Ovis aries: one gene and its partners. The protein of the gene in region 1 interacts with the protein of each later gene in a pairwise test. Links are inferred from orthologs where the notes say so. Each region holds a gene or a part of one and is shown in the gene's direction. Other genes may lie near its edges. The genes, in order: FAM168A, UBE2V1, SS18L1, SF1, DAZAP2 and OTUB2.

Region 1 (4,933 bases):
AGGAAAATCAGTATGTCTAAAATATGTTCTTGGGGAGGCAGGACCTTGGCTTGAGTTTCAACAATGAGTAGGAGAAAAGGAGAAAATGGGTGTAGAAAGTCCAGAAGATGGAAACATTTAAGAGACAATGAAAATTGAGAAAATCCTCTCTGCTGCTGCTGCTCCTGCTAAATCGATTCAGTTGTGTCCAACTCTGTGCTACCCCACGGACTGCAGCCCACCAGGCCCCCTGTCCCTGGGATTCTCCAGGCAAGAACACTGGAGTGGGTTGCCATTTCCTTCTCCAATGCATGAAAGTGAAAAGTGAAAGTGAAGTCCCTCAGTTGTGCCCGACTCCTACCGACCCCATGGACTGCAGCCCACCAGGCCCCTCCATCCATGGGATTTTCCCGGCAAGATACTGGAGTGGGGTGTTATTGCCTTCTCCAATTCTTTTATGAATTTTAAGTGACCACCATTATTTGTTTTAATAGTGGAAATGTTGGGCTCCCAGAAAAACTAGATAATCCTCCTCTCCGAGCACCACTGAAGACAACAGAAAGCCATGAAAAGCTTTCAGGTAGCAAAAACAGATTGTTGCTAGATTTGAAAATTTTATTTTTTGAAAATAGTTTATAGCTTAAAAAGTTTGTACTGTTTTTAAACAATTCTGGCAGTGCGAAAATAAAAATTACTTTAAATCTGACACACTTTATTCCAAGGTTATTACAGATACTATTTTGGGCAACGTTTTTACTGAAATCGTTCTATGCTTATAGAATATTCTCAAGTTTCACATAAATTAGATCACTCTAAACATGTTCTATTATCATTTGAGAATAAATTGTGAATAGTTTTTGATGTCAAGAAATAGGCCCATATCATTATTTTAAACAGCTATTGTTTGTATATATAATTTAACCAGCTCCTAGTGATGGACACTTAACGTTTACCCCACTATAATCAACAACCTGCGATAACAACCTTGTCCATTCATCTTTTCCAAACTGATTATCTTTCTAAGGTAAATTCTTAAAAGTAACGGAGCTGGGTCAAGAAGTACCCTCTTTTTATATTCGGGCTCAAGCTGCCAAGTCGTCTAGTTTTGCAGGGAGACCAGAAGGAAGCTGCTGCATTAGTTCTGGTGCGAGACAGTGGTAAACGGTTATTTCGAAGAGTACAGACTCGCATGCAGGTGATCTTGCCCATCTAGGCCTGTACTCGGCTGGGTGGCATATTTCCTTCCCTTTCCCCTCTCTTTCACGTCTTTTTTTTAACATGGAGGAAGAACTGAGAACTGCATCTCCCAGCATTTCACGGGGACCACACTCCCTGGGAACTGTAGTACCAGGTCTGAGAAGGGTCCGGAAAGAGGGCGAGAGGCTGTGAGACATGCTGGGAAGTGTAGTCCAGCGGGAGGAGCTCTTAGGGCTGTGTGGAGGTGTGTGCGCGCGCGTAAAGAGGTTGGAGACGCCGCAAACATCGTCCCTTGAAGATGGGGCTGCTGGGTGACCTAACTTCCTTCCTGTGTGGTCTCTGAGTCTACAAAAGCTGCCCGCGGATGGTTGGCTTTACTCCATTGTCTGTGACCGAGCGGGGAGCGGTCCCTCCGCTTCGGGCGCGCGGTCAGAGGCGCAGGCGACGCGCCGGGCGGAGCGGGGCATGCCGGGAGTTGTGGTCCCGGCGAGCTGAGGCTGTGGGACGTGTCGCGGCGCTGCGCCGGCTCCTCCTTCCCCTCCCTTCTCAGCGGTCCCCCGCCCCTTCCCTCAGCCTCCTCCTCCCTCGCCCGCAGCCCAGCGTCCCCTGCCCCCACCCGTCGGGCTCCTCGGCGGCTACTGCAGAGGATTCAGAGCCGAGTCGCTGAGGAGGAGGCGGCTCCTGGTCCCTGCGCGCCATCCGCCACCTTACTGGACACGGGCGACGGAGCGAGAGCGTCGCCTCTGTAGCCTTCAGAGAAGACAAGGGCATCGCCGCCTCAGCTGCCGCCGCCGCCGTTTTCGCCTGCAGCGGCTCGCCGGTGAGGAGATACACCCCCACCCTTCCCCGCTCCGCTCTCGCTGAGCCTGGGCCGGTGGTACTGGGGAGAATGGGAATGGGGGCTGCGGACCCCCTCGCGGGTTGGGGGAAGGGGGTTAAGGTCGCGATGGAACGGCGGGCTGGCAAGGGAGACTTGTCCAGGCGCGGGCTGGGGGTGGGGTGAGGGTGGGACACGAGCAGGTTGCGGGGGGAGCGACGAAGCGAGGGGACTTTTAATGGAGACGACCTGGGACAGGAGCATGGGATTGTAGGGTTGGGATGGAATTTGGATGGTTTTGGGCGAAATGGATGGTGAAACTGGAGTGGGATGGCTTTTAATGGGGGAGGGGACTGAATGAGGGTGGTGGATTTGGGGTTGGCCTGGAGCAATTGACAGCTTGGGATCTGGGCCGGGTTGCGGGCTAAGGGGTTGATTTCAATAGAAAGTGCGACTGCAGAGTTGGATAGGACCCTGGGGGGTGGTTAATTCTGGAGTGTGGCGTGGACCTTCGTCAGGCTGACAGAGGAGGTAGGAGCTGGGGGTGAGGGGCTTGGCATGGGTTGAGACCTGAGCTTAAAGTGGGCGCTTGCCATCTGGGGTGGTGGAATTTGTTGAGACTTACGGAATAGCGTGGGTTAGGCCAGCAGAGGAGGTAGAATTTGGGGTTTTCCTGGGGAGTGCTTATGGAAGTTGTAATAGGAGCTGGTGGGGGTGGGACTTTCAATGAGGGGAGTGTGAGGGTGAGCTGGCAGGACGGGGTAAATTAGTAGAAGTTAGGCCCCAAATGGGCAAACAGGGATCGAAATTGGGGGTGGGGTGGGGTGGGAACACAGCGGGATGGCATTTAGAGTGATGTTAAAACTGCTGGTGGCTCCCTGTGTACAGGATGGAGGCGGAGGGCAGAGAAGATGCTTCCAGGCTGGACTCACCAAAAGAATAGTGGCAGGTGGTGAGCAAGGTTGGGGAAGGTATCTTGAAGAAGATGTCCCTTGGCCAAGGTGGCCGAGGCGGTTTGGGAGAAAGAATGTCTGAGATGAGCTAGGAGGACTGGAGAGGTGGTTGATGATAGTGAGGTGGCAGATGGGGCTAATTGAGGAGTGGGAAACCTGGGGCTATTGGTATGGAGTGGGCAGGGAGGATGGAGAGGGGTGGTAAGCAATATTGGGAGGAGGTTGATTGGATGATTTTGGAGAGGAAGGATTGGGATGGCCTCCAAGAGACAGGAGAGGGTTGGGAGTGGACTTAAATGGACAGCTTTGGAGGCTATGGTTGGGGGGCTTTGCAGGGGACAGAGAAGGTACATTAAAGACTGGTTTCTAGAGGACTTCTTAAGCTGTTAGTTTTTGTTTCATTTGTATTAGTATCATGTGGAAGTAAACCATCACAAAGGGTAAAGTTGAGTGGGGCTTCAGTTAAGGTAGAATTGAGGAGGGAAGGCATCTTCTATTATTCATGTATTTTAAAAAGAAAGTTGAGGGGAAAACCCACTGTCATAACTAAAGGTGAAGAAGATGAAACCGGAATGTGATAGATACCTTTCTGTTTGATGTCTCTGCCTTCTTTCTGCCCAAGGTGTGTTTTAAAAATTAGTCCTGAAATTTGGTGTTAAATAGATTTGATGAGCTTAAGTAGTTAAGGGAACATTCCTTGCTTGAGAACTGATGAATGAGACTGAAAAATATGAGGCTGAATTTATTTCCTAGTCAGGCAACGTGCATGTATTCAGAAAGAGCTTAGGCCTTTTTTTTCCCCCCTCTTAAAATTGATTGCTTGAAGACTCCATTTATTGGTGTCCTTGTTTGCAAGGCAATTAGGCCCATCATTGTATTGCAGGCTAATAATCCTGCACTACTGCTTGGCACTACCGCTTTATGTAAACATAAGACAGGAAATATGGAAATGTCATAAATATTCATTGGTGAGATGGTTTGCTGTTGATGGAGTTTTTCATTTGATTCTCTTTTGACATTACTTGATAAGATTTAAAATAATTGGATTGTATTTCTATAGATTGAATTTTCTTCCAAAGGAATTCAGGTGGTTAGAATTCTGTCAGATATAGATAAAAACATAAAATCATTTTTATTTTATTTATTAGGAGATACAAGCATATTGCATTAACTACAAAAATAATACATCCATTTATTCATCAGAAATTTTATTTAAAGCTTAATGATATGCTCATTCTTATGGCAGAATAGTGATGCTGGAAGGTAGAGAAGGATGTTAATGGAGGAAACATCTTTAGGGAAATAGTTTTCTGGACTTAATTGCATTAACTATGATATGTTAAACATGAAGTAGCTGTTGATTAGTGCTCAGACTGGGGAAAAAATGAGGAGAGATGTAAAGATAAAATTGGCACCAATGGGATCAAAATAAATCTAGTTTTTGGTTCCAGCTTCAGAGTTTAGCTCGTAAATAAACCATTTTCCTTGGCTTTCACAATTGAGCACATAAAAATACCCAATATAAAGAATCTTTCTTTGTCGTTCTGAAATGGGCAGAATGGTTGAAGGTTGGACTTAATCATTGGAATTGAAAATGTTTTGTTATGAGGAAGCTTTCTATGTTACAATGAAAATCAGGTTTGAGCAGTTACTGGTAATTTGATAAAAGTGTAATCTAACTAATGCAAGCGTTTCTCCTTGTAACTTTACTCTGGGGTCCAGCCATTGCATCTGCAGGCTTGATATAGAGGTGGGACATTTATATTAAAGCTATAGCTTTTGAGAACTCAAAATGGAAAATAATCACTTGGGAGAAATGTTTTGGTGGATTTTTTTTTTTTTATCATAACTGTGTTCACCTGTTCAGTAGAAATGTGTATAAAGTGTTTTAGTATCTTTACCTCATTTGATTCTCCCAATATTCTGGTAGCAAGAGGAGCAGTGGAGGTATTGTATACAGGTACATTGGTTGAATGAATAGCTTGTG
Region 2 (4,948 bases), on another chromosome or scaffold:
GAGAAGGGGATGGCTGTCCACTCCAATATTCTCTCCTGGAGAATTCCATGGACAGAGGAGCCTGGCGGGCTACCATCAGACACGATTGAGCAACTGGGCAGACTCAGGCTGTCATAAGGAGAATGGAACAGGGGGGCAAGAATGGAGGCTGCTGGGATCCTCCACGTGGGAGACAAGGGGAGCCTAGACGTGGATGGGGTAGAGAGATGCTTAGGAGGCACTGCTGTCAGAACCAGGTGACTTGGGTGCAGGTGTCCAGCTTCCTTGTTCCTTTGTACTGAAAGTTCTGGTCCTTTCTCTGCCAGTGTGTAGCTGTGCCACCATGAAGCAAACCTTTCCTCTCTTCCAGCCTCAGTCTTTACGTCCACATAAGGGTTTCTCAGACCACTTATGCTAGAGGAGTCAACTTCTTGAATTTAACATTTGCCAATATATGTTTCCTGGGCCTTTGCACATGTCACTCCCACCATCTGCTTCCCATCGTTCAGGTGTCTGTTGAAATGTGACTTCCATAAGAGGCCTGACCACTCCTCCCTTGGTTTATTTCCTATCCTATTATAGTTAGGTTCTTCCCTATTTGTTTACTTTCTTCCTGCCTCCAACTAAAATGTAAGCCCATGAGAGCAGGAGCTTGCTTCTTCAGGGATGTATATCCATCCACAGCACCTATGAAAGTGTCTGGCACATAGTAGATGCTTAGTAAATATTTGAGTGAATTAGTGAATGTTTTCACTGCCATATATATATATATGCCCCGGAATCCTTTAACCGCCCTGCTTCAAGCCCCTTCTGACCTGGAAGCATTGATCTGGGAAGCAAGACATATGGCCTGGGTTCAAATTCTGACTCAATTACTTAAGGGCTGAGTTTATATAAATATCTTAACCCCTCTCGCCCTCATTTTTCACTTTAACCCAAACCTCACAGAGGAAAAAGCCCAGGGCAAGATAAGTGCTTTTAAACAATATTATAAATTTGCATCTATTTGCTTATTTTTATTGAAGTATAGTTAACTTACAATATGGTGTTAGTTTCAGGTGTACAGCATAGTGATTCAGGTTTTGGGGTTTTGGTGGGTTGTTTATTTTTTCTTCAGATTACATTGTATTATAGATTATGACAACAGGCGCTCTTTTAAAGCTTTCTTGTCTTTTAATCACACCCTTCCCAGTCTGATCACCCTTGCCTCACCAAGCACCTCAATACCTGCCTCGCACCAGAGTCTGGAGGGCCTTGCAGGTTGCTGGGCCCTCACGCACGCAAATGTTTCCTCGCTCTAAAAGGGCAGGGGAAAAAAAACCTTCCATGCAACGGGTCGAGCGGCCCGCGGAGCAGGCGTCAGAGAGGCGTCCGCGCCTGCGCACGCGCCTGCGCAGAAAAGCCCGGGGACGGTGGGGGGTGAAGAAGGGGCCGGCCTTTGAGCGACAGCGACGCAAGATGGCAGCCACCACGGGCTCGGGTGAGCGGGGGCGCCGGGCCCAGCCGGCCGAGGGGGCATGGGCTTGGGCCGGGGGCCGGAGACCCGCAGAGGCCCCTGCTGCGGGGCCAGGGCCTCTGCAGGGCCGCTGTCCGCTCGGCCCCGCGGCGGCGACGCGGGCGGCCTGAGCGGGGAGGAGGAGCAGGCGGTGGCCGGAAGCACGGGCGGGGGCCTGAGGGGCCTGTGGGCGGCGCGGTGAGGCCGAGGCTCCCCCGGGCGGCGTGAGGGCCCTGCGGAGAGGAAGGGCCCGGCCCTGCGGCGCTGCAGAACGGCCGGAGCGGGCGAGGGGGAACCCAGGGCCACTCCGGAGGAGTCGGGGGCTGCCGGCTCCTTAGACGAGATCGGGGGGTCCCCTAGAGGACAAGGAGGCGCCCCTAAAGAGATGGAAGTCCTTTATTGGATGCTGGGTGTCTGAGCGGGGGGAGGAGCCTTGGGGATGTCCGTTTGGCCCTGACTTCAGAGAAGCCCCTGAGGAAGAATGAGGGAAGGAAACGGGATCCTGAGGGGTGAGTGATAGGATGCCCCGTTGTTTAAGGGCATGATCCGTGTAAGTTTAGGGGATTGGGTTAACTGAGAAAATTTTTACGCTGATTAGAAAGGGGGCGTCTTGGGATGGCAGCTTTTGCGGTGGGGGAGCTGGGATTAAGGGCATCTCCACAGGATACGTGAGAAGGGGAGAGGGATTTCTCAGATTCCAGAGGGATTTGGTTGGAGCAGCTGAAAGTGCAATGGCCCCATCATTACCAGGCCCCTATTTGAGGAGATAGATGTTAGGTTTTAGGAGGCGAGCTCTGAGTAGGGCGGTCAGTGGAAGCTTGCGATCCTGGGTGAAGAACAGATGAGTTGGGAGCTCTGGAGGTGTGTGTTAGGGGAAGGGTCGACTGAGGGAAGCCCCATGCAGTGAGTGAGACTGGAAATCAGGTTTCAGAGATGTTCTTCTTTGAGAAGAAACATCTCTTTTATTTGGGTGAGGGACACATACCTTAGGAGTGTCTCATATGGAGACTGTCTCTCTCCCACTCTTTCAGGTATTGGTAACATATGGGGGTTCAGGTCAGAAGTTCCCCAATGGTTGGATGGTCATGGGGAGAGGAATAAATGAAATGGGAACTGGAGAAGAAAGTCGAGATGCAAGAGGGATTGAGGGGGCTGCACTCTGGGCCAGGGGGAGTTCTTCCAGACTCTGGTAGGTAAAGGGAAGCAGCATTTATTTTGCATTCCTTGCTCTGTACTCCCCTAAGATGCTCCAGAGGGTCAAGTCCTAAAGGAATCTGTTTCAGAGTGAACATTCACAGCTGGGGAGCAGGGGATGGACTCAGGTGACCTTCTGGAGGAGACAGGGTGATGATTGGGGAAGGTCCCCCAGAGGGGCCAGTGAGGCAAGAGAGTCAGATTCTGGAAGTGCAGGATTTGGGAGTGACGGAGTGTCTCCCTTTTGGCGAGCAGGGTGTCCCCTGAGGTGTCTGGCAGTGAAATTGGCCAAAGAAGTCCTCCCAAATGAGGTGACCGTGGGCGGCCTCTGAGGGGGAGAACAAACAGGACCACCGGGCTGGGCACTGGAATCCTCCAGCTGTATAAGGCCACAGCAGCACTGGTAGGAAAGGTTGGTGACCAGAAGTGAGCAGGGTGAGGGAGTCTGTCTTCCCCGCATGTGACTCCTCTAGTGTCCTGAGGGGCCGTCTTTGTCTGGTTGTTAGATGGGCATGGAAGGAGTTGGACATCGGGGGTCTGCCCGGAGTCACCTACCACAAGCTGTCTTTTACACTGAAAGCCATGGGGTCTTCCTGAAGGATAGAGGAAACCACACCTCCCTTTCCTGGATTTGGATTCAGTTGGAACAGTGCTGAGTCAATTCATTTACCAAGAGACTGCGACGGACATTCTCAGAAGAGGGGCTGAGTCAGGCCAGACTGCCATGAGGCTCCTCTCAGCGGAGTAACACCCGGCCAGGTTGCTGTGGACCGGGGAGGCTGTTCACACGGCTGTGCCCATAGCCGCCGTCCTTACGGTGGTATTGCCGCTCAGCTCCTTGGCAGTGACTGGAGATTGGCTATCTATAATCCGGTTTAACAGCTACTTAATTCTAACTTCTTGAGATCCTCCCAGTTGAAGAGTGCTTCCTAAATGCTGTGGTCATCAGATAAAACATCGTCAGCTGCTGTCTAGTGGCATACAAGAGCACTTGGCATGGTTTAGGTAACAGGGAACAGGTTTTGAGATGCCCTGGAACTGGACTTCCGAGAACTCCTTTGTCTGTGCGTTCAACAGATATTTGTTAAGAATTTACTGTGCCCCTTTATGGAGAGTGAACAGGGTGGACATAACCCGTGTCCTCAAAGAGCTTCTAATCTAGTCAAGGAGAAGCCCATTAAAGGAATACATAATTAAGATTTCAGATAGCAGTAAACGCTGTGAAGGAAGTTGTGTGATATGGTGCTGTCCGGAGAGGTGGTCAGGGAAGGCTTCTCCAAGAGTAGGTATTTGGACTCAAGCAGATGATGGAAGGAGCTGGCGGTGTGTGTCACAGGCCGGAGTTGGGGGACAGTGAGTGGAATGGCCTTGTGACAGGAATCTGCTTAGCAGATTGAAAGAACCGAAGACTTCAGTGTGTAAGGGAGGCTTGTTAAAGAGATAGGTTAGAGAGAGAGGGCTTTGGATTTTATTCAGTGTGAAAGGAAGCCATTGAACAAGCACCTGGTCTGAAGTAGGCATTCAGTAAATATTTGGTGAGTGAATGAATGAGGGTCTTAAAAAGAGAAGAATGGCAGGATCTGACCTCTCCTCCCAGGCAGTAAGAGGAGTGTAGAGCGCTGAAGTGGGAAGCAGAAAGATTGTATTGCTATGACTTGGGGCAGGCTGCTGGGTTAGACTGAAACAAGTGCACAGGCCCCTCTGCTTTCTAACCCTGAGAAGTCCTTCAGGTGTGGTCAGGGGCCCCGAGGCCTTCCGGAGGCAGCTTTAGAACAAGCCTCTTGATGAGTCTGGGCCCCTGGGTCCCAGGAAACAGCTGTGAAGCCTCCGAGTTCCTGTGAGGGCTGAGCTCCATTTTCCGTGGCCACTGCTTTCAGCGCTTGGTGACAGCACCTTTCTGCCTCTTTTGCTTCTGCAGTGTGTGATTTCCGCATAGATCTTAGAGGGTGGAACTGTGAAAACCCCACCCGAGTCCTCAGGATGCTTGTGTTAGGACAGGTTACTTCCTCCTGCCTTGACCAAGATTGCAGGGCCTCAAAGAGTAACCCTTGGCGGCCAGGTCTTTCCTCTGACCCAGCATCCCACAGGCTACCCTGACGTTAACCAAAAGCATAGTGCCAGGAGAGTAAGCCCGTTACATTTTAAACCCACATGTTTTGGAGCGGCCTCATGCACACAGCCCTCTTATGAACATGTCACCACATGGGCGGTGGAGCTTACGGTCTTGCGTTCCGTTCAAGAGTGTTCCCCAGAAAGCTGGAGCTGGCAGATGAGAACCTG
Region 3 (4,427 bases), on another chromosome or scaffold:
CCCCCACCCTGTGCTGGGAGGACAGGGAAGGGCTCCCACAGGCAGAAGGCATGCAGGGCATGCTGAGGGGTGGCAGGAGCCCTGCCTGACAGCTTGGGGCCTTGAGCACTCAGGAAGCGCTGGGTCCAAACTGGGGTGCCCAGTGAGTTTCAAAGCTTCGAGCAGAAACAGGTGTGAAATTACTCCTTGCTTCTCGTTATGTTACTTACATACTGAGAACAACCTGTCTGGGATATATTGAGTCAAATAAAATGTTGCTGAAATAGATTTTACCTGTTTCTTTTCATTCCGTGATGTGGCTCACATACCTTGTGCTGGACAGCATTGCCTGGAGGGTCCCGAGCAGGGTGGAAGGAAAGGACAGGCAGGCAGGGCCCCCCAGGGCCCTTTGAGGCTACCGTCTGGGGAGGGCAGGGCAACAGACTTCTCTGGGACCAGTGGGTGGGGGCCGCGTTTCACATTTTATGAGTCACCCAAAGGCACTTTGGCAGGAAGGGTGATGTGGCCCCATTGTGGGGGCCTTGTGGAAGCCGCAGCCTGGGGTGAGGGTGCAGGCTGGGCTGGGGGTGGGGGAGGCACCACCTGGGAACTGCTTGGGTTACTGGGGTCTGTCGTGTTTCCCAGTGTCCATGATGCACCAGCAGGCAGCCTCGTCTCACTACAGCGCGGCCCAGGGCGGAAGCCAGCACTACCAGGGCCAGTCCATGGCCATGATGGGCCAGAGCGGGCAGGGGGGCGGCGTGATGGGGCAGCGGCCCATGGCGCCCTACCGGCCCTCCCAGCAAGGTGAGGCCGCCCTTGGTACAGGGAACCAGTGCGGGGAGGGCTGCTGTGGGAAGCCCGGCTCCTGGGGGCTGGACATGCGGCAGGGCCCCGGGTCCCCTGGGTGGGCCTGTGGGGTGTCCTCTGAGTGGGCCCGTCTGGGAGGTTCTGGGGCTCGGGGAGGTGACATCAGCACTGTCCCCCCAGGTTCGTCCCAGCAGTACTTGGGCCAGGAGGAGTACTACGGCGGTGAGCAGTACGGCCACGGCCAGGCTGCTTCGGAGCCCATGAGCCAGCAGTACTACCCCGATGGTGAGGCCCACTTCCTTGGCATCTGTCCGCACTCCCCAGTTGTTCCCAGTTCAGTCCCAGCGCCCCCGCCAGCAAAGCACCCAGAGTCCCCTTTGAGGGTGGGGGCTGGTCTCTGCTGAGAGAAGCTTCTGGCACTGGGCTCCCTGGGGCTTGGGGGCACAGTCCTCTGAATGGATGGACACAAATATCCGAAGGATGGATATGAGCTCGTGGTGAAGTGCCTTCAGGAAGGTGATGAACCCGAGCCAACTGTATGTCTCGTAACATTCACCTCCCAGCTGCTCAGTTACACCTTCTGCAGGTTATTTTCCTTTTCCGTGTCACCGTTCCGGCATCTTTAAAATCAGGATTTGTGGAGATGTCTTAAAGTGACTGCAGAGGACAGGTGGGATTTGGGGAGGACCCCATGCAGGGATGTGTGACCAGGTCAGGCAGTGGGTGGTGGGGAGGTGGCCAAGACCAGAGGGGTCACACACTCCAATGGGAGTCGGCGACGGGATGGTGACCACATAGCAACCTTAAGAGCTAACGGACACGTGTGTGTCGGACATGGGGCACCAAGTATGCTCTGTAAACCTTGGCTTGTTGGCCCCAGGAGCAGGTAGCCATCTGCACTTTAAAGGAACCTTGGCTGCCAGACAGCAGGAAGAGCCCCCACGGGCTCAATCTAGGACACGGGACCCACATCCAGGGGCACGCCATCCCGACCTGATGGCTGAGTCCATGTGGTCTTCCCCGGGTCTGGGAAGCCAGGACTTCTGCTGACTGCTCGGCGCCCCATTTCCTTGCAGGACATGGCGACTACGCCTACCAGCCGGCATCCTACACAGAGCAGAGCTACGACCGGTCGTTTGAGGACTCCACGCAGCACTACTACGAGGGCGGTAAGGCAGCTGGCTGTGAGCTCCAGGCCTAATGTGCACAGGGCCTGCAGAAATGGGGCGGGTGCCGATAAAGCCGCCAAGGTGATGGCACCAAGCTGGCCCTGGAAAGGACTTCCTGCTGCCCCCAGGAAACCCTGAGAGGAGAGGGGCCACTAATAAGCTCATGGGTGATGGCATCCAGGGCCCCCAGTCTGCTGGTCAGGAGTGGGGACAATGTCAGGGCTGCCAGTGGCCCAGGAAAGAAAAGACAGATGATACGAGTGGAACGAGTGACTAGAAAATGTGACTTTTGAGGTGACCTGTTTTTAATTGTAAAAACACATAGTATTACCATTTTAGCCATTTTAAGTGCACAATCCAGCGGCACTAAGCACGTGCGCGTTGTACCGTCACAGCGTCGTCCCCAGAGCCTTCGTCTTCCTGAACTGACCATCTGTCCCCAGTAAACACTACCTCCGTTTCCCCACCCTTTCCAGGAAAGCTGGGCTCAGCCTCCTCCTCAGGAAGAGCCCCCACGCTGCTCACCAGGGAGGGCTTGTCGAAGTCTCAAGTGCAGTTTGTACCCTCGCTTTGGGCTACAACCACTCACCCTCCATAATTGATGAGGACTTTGCTAAAACATCCAGTGACTTCTTTTAGGGCAGGTGTGGCAGACAGCATGGTTTCCTCCTGCATCTGGAAATGTTTTGTTCCACCTGGTTAGTGACCCTCGCACAGGACCACACACGGTACTGGCCACGCCTCAGTGGGTGGCCTGCCTGGTCTTTTTTAGGTTGGGAGGTGGGGGTGTTTCTTTCAGAGGAGTGGTCAGTGCCCTGAGAAAGGCAGGGGTGTTGGGTGGGGGTGATTAGGGGTGGCTTGAAGCTGACATAAAGAACCTTCCCATAATTAGCTTTGTCCCCCAAGGGAATGAGGAACCTCAAGAGACACAGGTGGCTGGTCCTGGTATTGTTCACAGGAGACAGGCACCCTGCAGGTTCCCTGGAGTGAGAGGGCCGAGAAGTGGTCCGGGGCACAGCAAACCCAGATGGGTGGGACAGGGTTGCTGTCGGGGCCACGGCAGAGCCCTCCATGGAAACCTTGACGTCCCACTGGCATTTTCTCTCCATGAGGTTTGCAGGAGCAGAGGCTGGACACAGCCAGTGTCCACTGTGGCATGTCCAGGGCACTGCTGTGGGAGGTCCCCTGGGTCATACCAGGTGTGCAGCACCAGAGTATCTGGATGCTGCCTTCTGTGTAAAACAATGAGTGCTAAGAGCACACCCACCCACCATAAACAGACGAGAAATACTGGAGACAGCGATCGAAGTGACTCGGGGGTGATAAGGCCAGGCCGGGCGGGTGGACTGGGTTTGCTTTTAGATTTCAAATCGCATCAATGCATCTGTCCATTTAGAAGTCAAACTTCGAAATAGTAAACATTATTGGCTGTTGTTGAAATTCAAAGTGCTAACCCTGTGGCTGTGCAGATCTGCCCCCGACCCCCAGTCCTCAGGTCGATTCTCAGTTTCTCCCGACGGCAGTGGTGACTGTGGGTGGGCATTCGGTGCCACTCAGGCCCCGAGGCTCCTCTGTGCTTGACGACAAGGTTTTATAGACAAGTCACCATCATGGGTTTGTTCCTTTGTTTTGTGGCCACATTCCTACCACATTTATTAACACCAGCCTCTTCTTTAACCAATGAGTGTTTCCTTTTTTCATGGCCACGTCATAGGCTGTCACAATATTCTTAAAGATAGAAACAAATGAAAAGGAGCAGAAAAACAAGGGAAGTGGTCGTCTCTGCCCCAGTGGTGGGAAAGCCCCGGGTTGTTCCAGGAAGGGCAGAATCTGGGCTCCCTGGCTCTGCTGCTCCCACAAGACCCTCTTGAGAACTCCTCAGGCATGTTCAGAGAGTCCTGCCTCTTGTTTCAGAGTTGTCCAAACCAGCCCATCTTCCCCTGGGGTTTGGCCCTGGATCAAGGGAAGGTTTTTCTGGGTGCATGAGAGCTGCGCTGCATTCTTACTCACTGCACACCTGCTGTGTCCAGGCCTCAGCAGCTGCTGCTGTGAATTAGCCCCTTTACCTGTTGCCACAGAAGGAGAACAGGACTGTAAGACATGAGAACGTGCAGATGGGCCCCGAAACTCTGCAGCCCTGGAGAAACCTGCCAAGTCTCTGGTGCACTTCTCAGGAGACACAAGGACAGTGAACCCACATCTCCACCAGTTGCTGACACCTCCTTGGCCATCAGCTGTCCCATTGGCCATTATTGCTGGGACCAGCCATGGTTGTGAGGAGGGAGCAGAGGTCAAGGTGTTTCCTTAGATGGTGATCAATCAGAAAGACCGAGGAAAGATTTCCCTGGTGGTCCAGTGGCTAAAACTCCGCACTCCCAGTGCAGGAGACACGGGTTCGATCCCTGGTCAAGGGACTAGATCCCACCTGCCACAACTAAAGATCCCACATGCCACAGCACAGCTGAGCTG
Region 4 (5,227 bases), on another chromosome or scaffold:
AATCACATATTGATGGTAGTTTTCTGTTTCCAGGTTTCTGCAGTTACAAACAAGACCGCAGAAAATGCAATAGAAGACTTTGAACACATTACATTAAGTAGTCACATGCCTTGCTTAGGGGCAGATTCCCAGGAGTGGGATCACCACATTGAACATGTTTTTTATTTTTCCCTGAAAGAGGTACAAATTTTTTTAAGCCACACCATGCAGGATTTTAGTTCCCCAACCAGTGCCCCCATGCATTGGGAGTGCAAAGTCTTACCCACTGGACTACCAAGGAAGTTTTGAGAGGTATAATTTTAATAGATAATAGAATGCTTTTCAAAAAAGCATTCAAAGTAGTAACTTAGCTTTTTTTTTTCCTGATTGTTGAAGACGTCTCATATCACTTTTAATTTGCATTCATTCTTAGGAGATTGGTACTTTTCATATTTTTGGCTATTTGGATCTGCTCTTCTCAGGCTTGTCTATTCAGTCTTTGCTCATTTTCTGTTGTTTTTCTCTTTTATTTTTTTAAGACTTATTTCCATATTACAGATATTAGCTCTTTATCATATGTATGGCAAGTATACTTGCCTAATGTATTACTGTTGACTTTTATCATAGTTTCCTTTGGTAACTAACTTTTGTTGTTTCCTGTCTTCATAAAGTCTCTACCCCTAGATGACTCCGACAATCTCCTAAATTGTACTGTGTCTGTTCTATTGTTTAAATTTAGGACTCTATAGGGCTCAGGGGTTAAAGCTCTGCCTGCAATGCGGGAGACCTGGGTTCGATCTCTGGGTCGGGAAGATCCCCTGGAGAAGGAAATGGCAACCCACTCCAGTACTCTTGCCTGGAGAATCCCACGGACAGAGGAGCTTGGTGGGCTACAGTCCACGGGGTCGCAAAGAGCCGGACACGACTGAGCGACTTCACTTCACTTTATACCATTTACTAGCTAAATCTTTTCCTTACTGAATTGAAATGCCATTTTTTTGGTTAGACTCTATCCTATTGTACTGTCTTTCCTACAACAATACCACATTGTTTCATTAGTGTGTCTTTTCTATTGTATTATTCGGAAAGGCAAGCTCCTCAACCTAGTTTACAAATTTCCCCACTATTTTCAGTTATTTTATTTGACTTAAAAGATGATCTAATCAATCTTAACTTCGCTGGGATTCTAATGAAAACGCACGGTATTTTTGATAACTTCATATTGCCTTCCACTTAAGATATGTGTACCTCCATGGGCTCGGTACCGTTTTTAATCCTTCTTCCTCCCACTTTTTATTTTTTTCAAAAACAGGAAGTCCTCGTTTACCTGTGTTGTCGACGGATCCGGTTTACCGGTCCGCGCCAGCCCCTCCCCCACCCCTCGGTTCCGGGTTACCATGGGACTCGAGGATTGACGTCACCAAGGGCTTCCGCGCCGGACCCGAGGGTCAACGCTGAAGCCAGGGACAGAGACACGGTTTTGCCCCATCTATGCATGCCCGCTCCTGTCCCGCTCCTCCCCGACCCCAATTCTTGTTCCGCCAAGGCTTTCCCGCCGCGACCTCTAGCTTAAACCCAGCGAAATTACTCCCCGGGGAAAAGGAGCAAAGGAAAAAAAAAAAAAAAAAGAACCAGCGACAGCCAATCCCAGGACATTACAACGCAATGGAGATTGATTGACTACACCAACCCAGCCAATGGGAGAGCTCTTGGCCCCATACGTCACAGAGTTTGCCCCACCCTATCCCTCCTTTCTGGACTCCGAGCTCCGTTCGCGCAGTAACAAATGAAGTGCGCGCTGCGACACCTCCCAGCTCTTCAGGCTCGGCCGCCATTTCCTCGCCTGGCCTAACGGTCCGGCCAATCCCAGCGCGCATCGAGAAAAGCTAAGGCTCCACCAATCGGAGGCCGCCGATTCCGACCCTTTGCCTCCGCTCGGCCCAATCCAGGCCCCGGCCCCGTCGCCCCCGATCCGCCCCCGCGGCGCTCTCTCTCCTCCCTCTTTGTGCGTCTCGCGCCGCCGCCGCCGCCCCGCCGCGTGAGAGAACGGGTTCCGCGCGCTCCGCGGCAGCGCAGTCGGGTCCCCTCCCCCCAGAAGATTCGCGAAGAAGAAGCCGCCGCCGAAAAGGAGCCGCCGGTGCCGGTCCCTGGGGGCGCCATGGCGACCGGAGCGAACGCTACGCCGCTGGGTAAGCTGGGCCCCCCAGGCCTCCCTCCCCTCCCTGGCCCCAAAGGGGGCTTCGAGCCGGGACCACCGACTGCCCCCGGGCCTGGGGCGGGGCTGCTGGTGTCCGGGCCGCTGCCGCCCCCGCCCGTGGGCTCGGTGGGGGCCCTGACCGCGGCCTTCCCCTTTGCGGCGCTACCGCCGCCGCCGCCGCCGCCGCCGCCGCCCCCCCCGCCTCCCCAGCAGCCGCCGCCGCCACCGCCCCCCTCCTCGGGCTCCTCGTACTCGCCGCCGCAGCCGCCCCCTCCGCCGCCGCTCTACCAGCGCGTGTCGCCACCACAGCCACCGCCACCCCAGCCGCCGCGTCAGGACCAGCAGCCGGGCCCGACCGGCGGCGGAGGAGGTGAGTCGGGCCGAGAGAGCGCGCGAGGCGCTGCGCGGATGGGCCCGGCCGGCTGAGGGCCGCGCGGCGGCGGCGACGGCGGCTGCACGCGGCAGGGGCGCGCGCGCGCACGGGGAGGCCCGGGCGGCGGAGCCACGGGGCGCGCGGCCTGGTTCTCGGGCCTCGAGTGCGCACGCGCCTCAGGGGTGGGGGCCCGGCGGGAGGAAGTTTGTTGCGCGCAGGCGCAGTTTGGCGGCCGGGCTTTGTGGCTGTCCTAAAAGCCGGGATTGGGGGGACCCCTTGTTGCTCTCTGCCCCTGGTGTTCAGGAGCGGGTGTGGATAGGGGATCGAGTGGGTGGTTGGGGTGCCTCATGTGCAAGTCCGGAGGGCGGAAAGGGTCGACTGATGACGTGGAGCGTCCTCTTCCTGGTTGTAGTGGAGTCCTAAAGGAAGAAAGTACCAAGAGAAGCTCCTTAAAACTTCTTTAATAAGACAGGGCTTTCACTTCAGAACCAGAATGGATGAAAGTCTTCAGGGGGTGTTTGGGTCCGATTTTTTTGTGGCCCTTTTTGGAGAAGGATGTTCCGTTCGTTTCCATATCTCACTGTATCTACCTAGGAAGTATGACACGCCTCCTCTTGAGGCTTTTCCGCTGGGTCTTGCTCCTGAGAAGGCGCCTTTGTGTATCAAACGCCAGGAAGTTTCTGCTTGTGTACTGGGGAAGAAAGATTTGGCTCTTGTTGTATAGCTTGTTCTTTGTTGAACTTGATACATTTTTTAGACCCTAAGTGTCCACCTGGCCAGGAAAATGCTGACCTTAGCCAAACCTCTGAGGAGAAAAGTGATTTTGCTGAAAAATCCAGGTTTTTCAGTTGATAACCATAAGTTTAGTTGCGTTTTGTCTCAGGTGACTGGTGGGGAGGTGGGAGGAGCCAGAAGTTAACAATATTGCTTTATACCCTTGAATATTCAGTCTGCTCTTATGTCCTGGGGCTGTTAAGAGGTTTATGGACACCATGTGGTATACTATTATCTCAATACTTTTTTATTTCACTACTTGAAACTTTATGCACTGAGATTTCTTGTTTACATATTTCACAACATTTCTGTGGACAAAAATCATAAATGTGCCATGTTAACTTTTCAGACCCAGGTCCCCTTCTAGTGGCCATGTCTTTTGACTTCCCAGGTTTGTCTTCCATTCTTTGCTGTTTCTTTTTAGGTCAAGTTCTCAGTTTCACGGTCTGCTGAGGTTGTGTGTAGTATAATAAGTATCCTAAACTGCTTGTTGGTAGTTACTCTGCTGGTTTATCTTTGCATCTGACGAACCTTATCTCTTTTAGACTTCCCCAGTAAGAAGCGGAAGAGGAGCCGCTGGAATCAAGACACAATGGAACAGAAGACGGTGATTCCAGGAATGCCTACAGTCATCCCCCCTGGACTTACTCGGGAACAAGAAAGAGCTTATATAGGTAAATACACGTTCTGCACTCAAATGCATTTTCAGATCGTTACTGAACATTTTATTTGTTGAAAGTTTGGGACTTTACAGTTTTCTCTTTGAGAGGAGCTATGGTCAGATGACTTTGATGTAATCCATAAGTTTTTGCTCTGTGAGTCCTGCATTTGTAGCTCCTTGTTTTGGTCTGTTGGTAACAGCAGTGTTCTCCATGAGTGCCAGAAGGGTAGAGGGGCCTGCTTAGGAATGAGAATAGTTCCCAGCCCAGCACCCCACCCCACCCTTTTCAGCTGCTGTTCATTACCAATTGATGAGGTGAGTGTTACATGCCTCTCTGGACTTGGCCCCAGTGGAGAACACTGCAGGTATTGTAAACCAAGTACCTTTTTCACAGCCTGGCCTTTCACCATAATTTCATATTCCTCCTTTCCCTAAAATGTGGTCTTTTATTTTTTTATAGGTACTTTGTGAAAGGGGAAAAAACTCAGTTTAATCAAAAAGTGGTTCTGAAAGTGTGTTTACCCCCTTTTACCATTTTGTTGAATTTAACCTTTCCTTCAGCATCTTTTCTGGTTTGGTCTTTGGAGAGCTGTCTTAAAATGAGGGCTCTTGTGTTTACTCCTAAGGAACTCTGCAGGGAAAGGGGTACTGCTTGGATCTGGAATAATGAGGTGGTTAGGATAAAAGATCTTAACTGTTGGGGAATTTTGAGAATTATGAATGTCCACAGTAGAAATGAAACTGACTTCAAAATTACCTTTTTTAAAAAAAATAAAAGGTTTTTAATGCAAGTTTTACATTTATTTGTGTACCTGTACAGCTGTCTCAAAAAAGTTTACTTGATACACATTTCCTACTAACCAAATAAACATTCGAGTAAATTAGGGCAGAAGCCTCCTAGACCCATGAGGTCCTCTAGGCCATTATTGTTCTTGAGGGTCTTCATCTCTTTTCTAGACTGCTGAGAATTTTGAGTTGTTGAAATTGTCTTATCTCCTTTTTACAATACTAATAATTCTTCTTTCCCTACTGTTGAGTCTATTTCCACCCATCCTTTTATGTCTTGTATTTGACTAGTCTGGGTCTTGATAACCTTATGAAAATGTCCCTAGTGGAGTGATAGCCCAAGAACACAAGCAGATGTAGAAAATGAGAAAAACAGCTTCATTCTTTACATTTCCAGCTCTCTTCCTTTGGAGGAAGTTACTGCTCTGGGTCCTAAGAGCGTTTAAACGTATAACCA
Region 5 (4,912 bases), on another chromosome or scaffold:
GTACTCTTGCCTGGAAAATCCCATGGACCGAGGAGCCTGGTGGGCTGCAGTCCATGGGGTCGCTAAGAGTCGGACACGACTGAGCGACCTCACTTTCACTTTTCACTTTCATGCAGTGGAGAAGGAAATGGCAACTCACTCCAGTGTTCTTGCCTGGAGAATCCCAGGGACGGGGGAGCCTGGTGGGCTGCCGTCTATGGGGTCGCACAGAGTCGGACACGACTGAAGCGACTTAGCAGCAGCAGCAGCAGCAGTTGTGATAGGCAGAGTAAAGGGATAAGAACAAAACAAAACCAAACCACTGATTTGGGAACCGGGGTGGGGGTGGGGACCAAGATAACACACCTGACTTTGTAACCTGTTCACTGTGTGACTTAGGGCAAATCTCTCATTTGAAAAACAGAAATGCTTAAACAAGCCCTGCCTGCCACACAGGGCTGTTGTGAAGATCTGTGATGACTCCATAAAATCATGCATATTAATGGTGTCCTGCAAACTGTAATTTGACACTGGAGAGAAAAACAGCGGACTGCTGATGAAGTGAGTACTGGTCTTTTCAGTGGTTTAAGTCATTCAACAGCAAATATGGATCAGGTTGCTAATGTTTACCGAGGGTTTTTCTTTTCAAAGCTTTCTTTTCAGATGCTTTTCTAATGTTCTTCCTACACTACAGAATGTAAACCATGAGAAAATAGCCTTGGGCTGTCTTGTTCAGCTCCATCTCTGTACCTGAACACAGCAAGCGTTCAGCAAATATCTTAAAGAATGGAAGCAATTGTTGCCTTAAAGGATGGCATCTTTGCTCTTAAGAACGATTAAGTTAGAAGAGAAGGGATACACAGAGAAAATACCTATCAGGTACCATACAGGTGTCTGTGACAGGTATCAAAGTAAGGGCCAGGGCATGGGTACTCCTTGGGTACCAAGAACATGCGTTTTAGTGCTAGCTGTTGCAGCGGGGTGGGGCGGGGCACAGCACAGCATACCCTTTCTGTCGGTGAGAAAGCGACACAGAAATAAAACACCGACAGCCTATCGGTAGAATAGAAAGGCAGTGAAGACTTGAGTGAGGGGAACGAGAGATAGATCAAGGGTTGCGAAGCATCTCAGGCAGTTAGGTAAGATTGTAGAAATCTATGTCCCGTGTGTGTGTGTGTGTGTGTGTGTGTGTGTGTGTGTAGGAATCTATGTCCCGTGTGTGTGTGTGTGTGTGTGTTAGTTTCCGGTTCGGTCCATGGGAAATGGCAACCCACTCCAGTATTCTTGCCTGGAGAATCTCATGGACAGAGTCGCACAGAGTCGGACTCGACCGATGAGACTTAGCAAGCATGCATGCCCCTTGTAGAAAGGCTGTCAAGGTGAGGTGACCTTGAGGTGCTGAACGTAGGTGGAAAAAGGTTCCAGAGAATAGTTTAATGTTACTGCCTCCGAGCGTTCAAGAGAGAGAAGATCCCGTTTTGAGACAATACCTGTATTTGGTTTTCCTTCAGCCGAGGGACAAGGGTAGGGGTTGGAGGACCAGACCCGGTGGGCGGGGCCTACGCGAGCGGACGGGATCACGCGGGCCCTCCCTCCTGCAACCGGCGGCCGGGCGAAGGGGCGGGGTTTCCGGTGGCAGCGGCACTCGGGCGTCGGGTGACGCTAGGCGGACAGATCGTCACGTGACACGGAAGTGACTACGAACAGGAAGAGGACGAAAAAAATAACCGTCCGCGACGCCGAGCCGAGCCGGACCCGCAGCCACCATGAACAGCAAAGGCAAGGATAGGGGGTGGCTGAGGCCGCCGGGGGGACTAGTGCTGGCCCGGAACGAGCGGGCCCGGAGCCCAGGGTCACCGAACGCCAGGCCTGGGGCGAGGTGCGCCGCGCTCCTGAGCCAGCTGCAGTGCCCGGGGCTGCGCCAGACACCTTCGTCATTCCCGAACTACGGCCGTTCGCTCCCTCACGGCCCTTTCTCCCTTAAACTCTGTGGCGCAGTTTGGAGCTGCGGACTCGGGTTGGGGGGGGGCTGTTGGGTGGGTGGGTTGGGGGGGTGGGGAGAAGGTTTGTCGTGATGGGCATCTGTAGGAGCAAATGGGGAGCTGGAGGCGAGATTTGGGTAGGCCAATGGAGAACTGGCAGAGGCGGGGCGCCGCGCTCCGGAACCACAGGCAGGCCTCCGGGCTTAACTAGTAAAGTGCCGCTCTGGTGGGCGGGCCAGTCGGGCCCGAAGGGGGTCTCTTCCCCCTTACCCTCGCTGGCGGCCAGAAAGTCTCCCGGTTTCTGTGTCAGAACATTCCCTTCAGCCCCCTCCACGATCTCAGCATTCACTTCCACCACTCACTCTTTTCATTTGGAAGTCGACCTTGAGTAGGAACCTGTGAGGTCGATGACCACAACCACCGTTACTCACGAGGTCTTGGTCAGTTACAACCAGACCTTTGGAGACCACGCAGGACAGGGAGACAGGACACACCGTTGAAATACCGGCTAGAGGGGATGCCCAGAACTGCCCTGCGTTCTGAGAGGATCTTGGGCCCAGCTAGACTTTCCCCTTACAGCAGTCGGCTACTGGATGTCCAGTTGGAATCCAGCTTCTTCAGCTTTAAGGGTGCAACGAGAATGCTTATTTTCTTGGCTCCAGGAATCAGGCCCTCTAGGGCAGTCTGTTTGGAAATCTCTTTTTGCTTATCCCAGCTAGATTAGCTACCCAATATGCCCTGCTTTGTTTTGGTGACTGTATGGTAGACAACATGCTTTTTTTCCCCCCTTGTCTTCCAGGTCAATATCCAACGCAGCCAACTTACCCTGTGCAGCCTCCTGGGAACCCTGTGTACCCTCAGACCTTGCATCTTCCTCAGGCTCCACCCTATACTGATGCTCCACCTGCCTACTCAGAGGTGCTTCCAGTTAACTTAATAATGGAATACTCTTGGATCATGTTTTCGGTCCTTGGCCAAGTCTGGCTCCACACATTTATTTACTTTCCACAAACAGAAGAGAGTGCTCACATGAATCATCTTAAAACGTGACATAGTTCAGCCATTTCTTTTGGGTTTGAGAAGGCATTATCTGATTGTTTTATGTTATTTGGCACTGGCTGAAGTTAAGAAGATGAGTTTGCATTCCCTGAGCCTAACATTAGCTATAGCAGGAAGTGATCCAGGAGAATATTGAGTGGCAGTGGAAAGGCAACTTGTGTAACTCAAAGAGTGTAATCTGCACAAGGAGAATTAAGACTTGACTCATTAAATTGAGATCTGAAATAGGAATGTCATGAAGTAACTTATTGCCTTCTCTTCTGCCTCTTCTAGCTCTATCGTCCGAGCTTTGTGCACCCGGGGGCTGCCACCGTCCCCACCATGTCAGCTGCATTTCCTGGCGCCTCACTGTATCTTCCCATGGCCCAGTCTGTGGCTGTTGGACCTTTAGGTTCCACAATCCCCATGGCTTATTATCCAGTTGGTCCCATCTATCCACCTGGTTCAACAGTGCTGGTGGAAGGAGGGTATGATACAGGGGCCAGATTTGGAGCTGGCGCTACTGCCGGAAACATTCCTGTGAGTATGACTTGGTCACAAAAAAGCTCGACCCTTGTGTATTTTAACTTTCTGAAATGACTGGTCATCCTTTCATCATCCCTGGGTAATAGTTGCTGGTATTGGTGTAATAATCACTGACGTCCAGTAGTCAGGCAGAAAGCACTCAAAGGGGCAGGAGAACCGTGGCCAGTCAGTAACATCTGGCGTACTCACTGATGTTAGAATTTATCAGATTCCTTTGTTTTCCTGTCTTAGGAGTCCTGCCTGCTGCTTTTCCAGTTCACTTTGATACTAGTTTAGTAACACTCCTCATTCATTCCATAAGCATTTATTTATATGTGCCATCAGCATGGCATCGTATTAGGAACCATGACGATTAAAAAAACAATGCATAATCCCTATTAAATTGCATTTAGAGAGATACTAGGGATTTTAGCAATGTCTCTTGATTAGTTCCCCTATGTATGGGAATTAGAGCCCATATGGTCCTTGCTAGGACCATCTACTCAATAACCATAGGCTAGGGATGAAGTGAAAATGCTGTCATCAGGTAGAGCCTTCAGATTATCCAGGGCCATTTGAAAACTGTCAGGCCCTGTGATATAAGTCCCTGGACCTGGTACCCGCTCCGTTTTGGGATGTGAATAGGAGTGATTTTCTGCACTGAAAATGCCAAGTCTGGACTTCCCACACTTAGAAGGTATCCATAGGCTTTATTTTGGATCCAGAACCCTTTAAATGAGTGGGTTTCCTGTTTATATCTTTGGCCTTACAAAGAATGTAGACCTGCTGGACTCAGATTGGTGGCCCAGATAGCTCTTTGAGATGCCGCTGGTTAGCACACTGCCATCTTCCTGATTGGTCCTTTTTCACCTTTGTCCACTTCCCTCCCATAGCTGCCCTCTGCCCAATCAACCTTGTCTTTTCCTTTCAGCCTCCTCCCCCTGGATGCCCTCCCAATGCTGCTCAGCTGGCAGTCATGCAGGGAGCCAATGTCCTCGTAACTCAGCGGAAGGGAAACTTCTTCATGGGTGGCTCAGATGGTGGCTACACCATCTGGTGAAGAACCAAGGCCATCTCTATGCCGGGAAAGACATCACATACCTTCAGCACTTCTCACAATGTAACTGCTTTAGTCATATTAACCTGAAGTTGCAGTTTAGACACATGTTGTTGGGGTGTCTTTCTGGTGCCCAAACTTTCAGGCACTTTTCAAACTTAATAAGGAACCATGTAATGGTAGCAGTACCTCCCTAAAGCATTTTGAGGTAGGGGAGGTATCCATTCATAAAATGAATGTGGGTGAAGCAGCCCTAAGGATCTTCCTTTAATTCCTCTGGAGTAATACTGTACCATACTGGTCTTTGCTTTTAGTAATAAAACATCAAATT
Region 6 (5,004 bases), on another chromosome or scaffold:
CACTGAGTGAGGAGTCAGTGGCTTAGGGAGGCCCTGGACGTCACCTGAGGCTACACAGCCGTGAGCGGCAGGGTCTAGAGCCAGCCTGGCCCCAGGGTTACCTGTGCTCCTTCCACAGGCCAATGCCAGCTTGGTTTGGAGCTGCTGTGGTCTAGGGAGAGGAGGAGATGGGACAAGCGCTCAGGGCTTATAATGAAGCCCTTAGAAGCCCTCCTTCTGGAAGCCCCAAGTGACTCTGATGTGGGCTTGACAAGGGTTAAGCCTGAGACCAGGCCCCAGGCAGTGCCCTCACAGACCCTTCCCTGCTCTTCTCAGCAGTCTCCCCGCCCACACCCCCAGGAGCCACACCTAGCTCAATCATTCCTCCACCAAGTGAAGCCTGCCTAACACAGTCTCCACTGAGCACTGGATATGGAGTCAGAATCCGGGCTTCATCCCAGCTGAGCATTTTCCTAGATGAGCCCTGCACTGAGCCTGTCACCTCTCTGGCTTTTCCTTAGCTGTAAAAAAAAACAAACAAAAACAACAACAACAAAAAAAAAAAACAGAGCAGAAACTCTACATGCAAGAAAAGGCATGGCGGAGCACACAGCCCCTGAAAGCACATGCATTGCTCCTCAGAACAAATTCAAACCCAGCTCTGGAGTCAGGCTGACCAGGATTGAATCCTTCCATGTGCTGGGTAAATTTGGGCAAGTAGCTTAATTTCTCTATGCCTTAGTTTCCTCATCTGTAAAACAGGGATAATAGAACCTACCACCATAGACCAGTTGTGAGGAAATTATGATAATATAGGTTGAGAGTTTAGGATGGTGCTTGATACATAGTAAGTGCTCAAAGAAAAATAGCTTTTATTGTTATTTCTCCTTGAGTCTTGATTGATCCCAGACTCCCCACTGAGTAAGTGATATGCACTTGGAAGATGTAGATGCTGTCTACTTGAGAGCCTGGCCTGGTACCAAGGGCAGATGTGTAAGAGTCTGGTGGGGGAATTAATACACAGTCTAGGAAGTATTAATACTTATAAAAGAGGTACATACAATTCATTGGAGCCCCTTGCCCCCGCCCACAAGGCACTGTCTTCCAGCAGTCAAGGACTAGTGATTGAATCTCTGAATGATACATATTCGTTCTGAATGATACATATTCGTCTGTTTGATGTTCAGCAATAATGAGCTTGTATACAGGGTGAGTCAACCAAGCCTGGTTCGTGGTCTGTGCCTCATATATAGCCATACAATTCCAGAGGCACAGAATCAACGATCGTAGAAATTCAGTCATTCAACAAACATTAATTGGGTGGCCTGGCAACCTACTGATTCATGAGTTTGGAAGTGCATAAAATATTATTTAGAAGCTACACGTGCAGGCTGGTAACTTAATATTATTGAACTCATGTTCCCTAAGCACCTGTCCTCTGATCTTGAGCAAACTATACTTATATGACCTTATTATGAATTAACCAGGGCCAACAAAGAATCTGGACTGCCAATGCAGGAGATCTGGGTTCGATCCCTGGGTCAGGAAGATCCCCTGGAGAAGGGGATGGCAACCCACTCCAGTATTCTTGCCTGGAGAATCCCATGGACAGAGCAGCCTGGCGGGCTACAGTCCATAGAGTCGCAAAGAGTCGGACACGACTGAAGTGACTTAGCACATAGCACAGACAATCTTTCAGAAGACTTCAATTTGCAGTTTTGGTCAAAAGTCCTTCAGCCTTCACAAACGAAGACTTGTCTTTCTGGGTTGGGCTCCTTTGCCAGTAAAGAGGTTTCTGTGTCTTTAAAAGGAGGCGGTACCCTGTCAAATGGACCCTAAAGCATAGGCTGAAGGCGCGTGAAGTCCCACCCACTTTCTGTGACGTCCTGTGGCCCAGCTTCTGATTGCCCGCTTCAGACGTCAATCGCGGGGCGTGTGTCTTGCTGGGACACAGTGGAGGTCTAACCTCTGGTTTGCGGAGCGGTCGGGTGTATTCTCCGCTCGTCCTCACGCCCTCGAGGCCCCCGCCGCCCGACCCAACGGCGGAGCCAGCCAGTGGCTCCCGCGGCGCCCTCCCGCACCGGATCGCTCCTCGCTGGGGCGGGACCTGGCCCGACGGCTCCGGTCACTATGGTCAGTGGTCTAAGGGGAAAGCGGGTGGGAAGGGGGCGCGGTAGGCGGGGTCGCCCCCCGGGCGCATGTGCACTCGCGGGACGGGGGATTCGGCGCGAGGCTCAGCCCTCAGTGTCAAATCCGCTGCGTTCGGGTCCCCCAGGAATACCGGGGTGTCCCGGTCCTTTCTTGGAAGGCTCCCGTGGACGGTCAGCAACGAGAACCCAACCCAGCGCCCAGGATCCCCGCCCCCGGCGCGTTCGTCCCTGGTTTCCCATGTGCCGCTCCAACAGCGGGGACAGGGAGGCTCCAGGGCTAAGGGTCCCCTCCTTTTCGTTACTAGCCCTCCCCCGCCAGTTCGCAGCTCCTTGCCGCACCCACCCGAGGGCTCAGCCATTAGAGACCTCCCCATTCCCAAGCCCCACGAGTGGACCTGGGGTTGCCACGGGTAGCCCGACATCCTCTCTGTCCTGCTTGTCAACAGAAGGTATTTGCAGTTAGGACCCACGTGGAGAGACTGTCTCAAGTTGTGAGGCACGTGACTTAGGGGCCAGAAATGGCCCCCGAGACCCTCTGAGCCAGGCCAAACTCAGGGCTTGCGCAGCCGGGGACCCTGAGGCCCAGAGAGGGAGGGGCTGGGACTGATCACGGTGGACTTGGATTCCCAGGCCAGTGCTCTTTGTATTTCTGTGTGTGTGTGTTAGTTGCTCAGTGGTGTCCGACTCCTTGCAACTCCATGGACTGCAGCACGCCAAGCTCCTCTGTTCGTGGAATTCTCCCCACAAGAATACTGGAATGGGTTGCCATTCCCTTCTTCAGGGGATCTTCCCTACCCAGGGATCGAATCTGGGTCTCCAGCATTTCAGGCAGATTCTTTACCATCTGAGCCACCAGGAATTATTCCTTTGTATCACTACATCAGTCCATCTTGGGGGTGAGGGGAGACAGGGGCACAGGCAATCTGCAGAGGACTCGGTGTGATGAATGCCTAAAACTGATCAACTCTGACCCCCCTGCTCCAGGGAGCCTGGAACGCATAAGGAGTGGTGGCTTGGCCTGTGGTCACAGCCCTGAGGGGTGATCTCACCTCCACCCCCTGGAAACCCGAGAGGCGTTGGTTGGTCGCTTCCCCTCCCCAGCACTATTTTGCACACCTGTATAATGGGCTGCTGTGAGGATCATGTGAGGTGATGCACATGGAGCGCTTGGTTCAGATAATTGGCCGTGGCTTTCCTTCTGACAACAAAATCCTGGAAATGGGTGTGCACAGGGGCCTGGTTCTTAGAGCCTCCTCCCTCCTAGGTCTGAGTAAGGAAATGGGTCACTGACCACTGAGGGCTGCCGCTGGCTTGGGGCACAGGTCAGAGCCTGGTCACGGTCTGACACGTTCTGAGTGTGGCGTGGGTGGCCCGGCCGGTCCTGAACAAACCAGCTGGGTGTGGCTGAGGGCTTCTGGAGCGCCTGGAAACACCCACTTCCTGTTTCCAGGCAGGACCTAAGGGTTGACCTGGCTCTTCTGCTCCTGGAAGGGCACGGAAGTGTTTCTGCATCGCCCACAAGGGAGTGGCCAGGGCTGGGGTAATAATGGGTTTAGCCACCCTGGAGCCGAGGCTGGCTTGCCTTCCAGTCACCACTGGGTAGCTGAGAGCATGGCGGGGTGGTGGGGCTGGGCCCTGATCTTCTGTCCTTCGTGGTGCACAGTGAGGCCTCTGACTCCAGCCTCCCATCTGCCCTGGACTCAGGAGAACAGAAGTTAGAGGGCAGATAGAGTCAGAGCACCAGCCCGCGCCCTGTGACAGGCAGCGTAGGTGCCTTGGAGAAGAATGAAGTGGTTAACTCACCAAACAAGACGTCTGTCTGGGAATCATGGGGAGGGGGTGGGGCAGAGGCAGTGCAGGGTGTGTTCTCGTCTGTTCATTCAGCATTTAGTGAGCACCTACTGTTTGCCAGGCACCGTGCTGGGCCCACTGGTGATGTTTTTGAGTCTGTGTGGTATGCATGATGGTGAGTGTGTGTGTGGTGGGCAGAGGAGAATGCCTTTGGAACATATAGTGTTTTCTTTCTGTATCCATTTCAAAGTCACTGAGCTTGGGAAAGGTCCCAGGTAGAAGACATAGAACCCTTGGGAAGGCAGTGGCCTGGGTGAGGACAAGGTTTGGGGGCTGCCACTGATGGAGGTTGCAGGTAGTGAGGGGCCTCATGCTCACTCAAAGGGCATTTAACATTCAGTGAAGAGTGAGGGTCAGATGTGAACAGCAAACCCACAGGGCCCTTCTGTGCTTTGTTCTTTGGTTTTTCAAACAAGCCCCCAGTAGGGTCCCTAGTCCAGCCCCACGCTGGGCTGGGCATTGATGAGAAAGACAAGGGCCTGCCCTCTTTTAGGAACTCACTGCATGAGACAAGACAGAACTGGACACAAGCAATTCCTGAACTATCAGTCATGACCTAAGAAGCTTAAGGGCTTGGGGAGCACAGCAGGAACCCATGCACTCTAAGGGAGCAGTGAGTGTCAAGGAAGGCTTCACAAAGGGGTCTTTTGAATGGGTTATTAAAGGATGTGTAGGAGTTTTCAGGAAGCATTTGGGGAATTGTGTGTTCCAGTCAGGGTGGGACAGGCCTAGAAATATGTGCTTACAGGCCTGGAAACATGGTTAAGAGTGGGATATTCTGGGAATGGTGAGCAGTCTGTATGGAGAGAGGAGAGATGAATCTAGAAAAACTGGGAGGGGGGTGGTCAGAATGTACTGTAAAGGGCTTCACATGCTGTGCCATGGGGTTTGGGTTTTAGTCTGCAAATGTGGTGGTGGAGGGGACCATAATGTATTTTTGACAAATAAGAGATGGTTGATTTGGATGGTCTCTCTGGCAGTGGAGCAGACAGAGGGCCAAAAGAGGCCAGGCTGGAGTCAGAGA

What was found.
Region 2: the proteins of FAM168A (region 1) and UBE2V1 interact in binary tests that used the Homo sapiens proteins (3 or more experiments, as listed by UniProt). The two-hybrid records come from large-scale screens. The link is inferred for Ovis aries from reciprocal best matches to the Homo sapiens genes FAM168A and UBE2V1.
Region 3: the proteins of FAM168A (region 1) and SS18L1 interact in binary tests that used the Homo sapiens proteins (3 or more experiments, as listed by UniProt). The two-hybrid records come from large-scale screens. The link is inferred for Ovis aries from reciprocal best matches to the Homo sapiens genes FAM168A and SS18L1.
Region 4: the proteins of FAM168A (region 1) and SF1 interact in binary tests that used the Homo sapiens proteins (3 or more experiments, as listed by UniProt). The two-hybrid records come from large-scale screens. The link is inferred for Ovis aries from reciprocal best matches to the Homo sapiens genes FAM168A and SF1.
Region 5: the proteins of FAM168A (region 1) and DAZAP2 interact in binary tests that used the Homo sapiens proteins (3 or more experiments, as listed by UniProt). The two-hybrid records come from large-scale screens. The link is inferred for Ovis aries from reciprocal best matches to the Homo sapiens genes FAM168A and DAZAP2.
Region 6: the proteins of FAM168A (region 1) and OTUB2 interact in binary tests that used the Homo sapiens proteins (3 or more experiments, as listed by UniProt). The two-hybrid records come from large-scale screens. The link is inferred for Ovis aries from reciprocal best matches to the Homo sapiens genes FAM168A and OTUB2.

What each region holds. Positions count from the first base shown.
Region 1 is NC_056068.1:51,811,726-51,816,658, reverse strand, and holds the start of FAM168A (protein FAM168A), read left to right. Parts: upstream 1-1,790; 5' UTR 1,791-1,996; intron 1,997-4,933.
Region 2 is NC_056066.1:78,156,811-78,161,758, reverse strand, and holds the start of UBE2V1 (ubiquitin-conjugating enzyme E2 variant 1), read left to right. Parts: upstream 1-1,419; 5' UTR 1,420-1,437; coding exon of another isoform or gene 1,438-1,459; 5' UTR 1,460-1,955; coding exon of another isoform or gene 1,956-1,983; intron 1,984-4,948. UniProt on the Homo sapiens protein: Has no ubiquitin ligase activity on its own. The UBE2V1-UBE2N heterodimer catalyzes the synthesis of non-canonical poly-ubiquitin chains that are linked through Lys-63.
Region 3 is NC_056066.1:54,726,632-54,731,058, reverse strand, and holds part of SS18L1 (calcium-responsive transactivator), read left to right. Parts: intron 1-624; coding exon 625-786; intron 787-969; coding exon 970-1,074; intron 1,075-1,865; coding exon 1,866-1,958; intron 1,959-4,427. UniProt on the Homo sapiens protein: Transcriptional activator which is required for calcium-dependent dendritic growth and branching in cortical neurons. Recruits CREB-binding protein (CREBBP) to nuclear bodies.
Region 4 is NC_056074.1:39,463,828-39,469,054, reverse strand, and holds the start of SF1 (splicing factor 1), read left to right. Parts: upstream 1-1,757; 5' UTR 1,758-2,137; coding exon 2,138-2,546; intron 2,547-3,868; coding exon 3,869-3,997; intron 3,998-5,227. UniProt on the Homo sapiens protein: Necessary for the ATP-dependent first step of spliceosome assembly. Binds to the intron branch point sequence (BPS) 5'-UACUAAC-3' of the pre-mRNA. May act as transcription repressor.
Region 5 is NC_056056.1:134,988,785-134,993,696, reverse strand, and holds the start of DAZAP2 (DAZ-associated protein 2), read left to right. Parts: upstream 1-1,663; 5' UTR 1,664-1,745; coding exon 1,746-1,758; intron 1,759-2,760; coding exon 2,761-2,879; intron 2,880-3,293; coding exon 3,294-3,539; intron 3,540-4,455; coding exon 4,456-4,584; 3' UTR 4,585-4,912. UniProt on the Homo sapiens protein: In unstressed cells, promotes SIAH1-mediated polyubiquitination and degradation of the serine/threonine-protein kinase HIPK2, probably by acting as a loading factor that potentiates complex formation between HIPK2 and ubiquitin ligase SIAH1.
Region 6 is NC_056071.1:56,420,003-56,425,006, forward strand, and holds the start of OTUB2 (ubiquitin thioesterase OTUB2), read left to right. Parts: upstream 1-1,907; 5' UTR 1,908-2,109; coding exon 2,110-2,112; intron 2,113-5,004. UniProt on the Homo sapiens protein: Hydrolase that can remove conjugated ubiquitin from proteins in vitro and may therefore play an important regulatory role at the level of protein turnover by preventing degradation.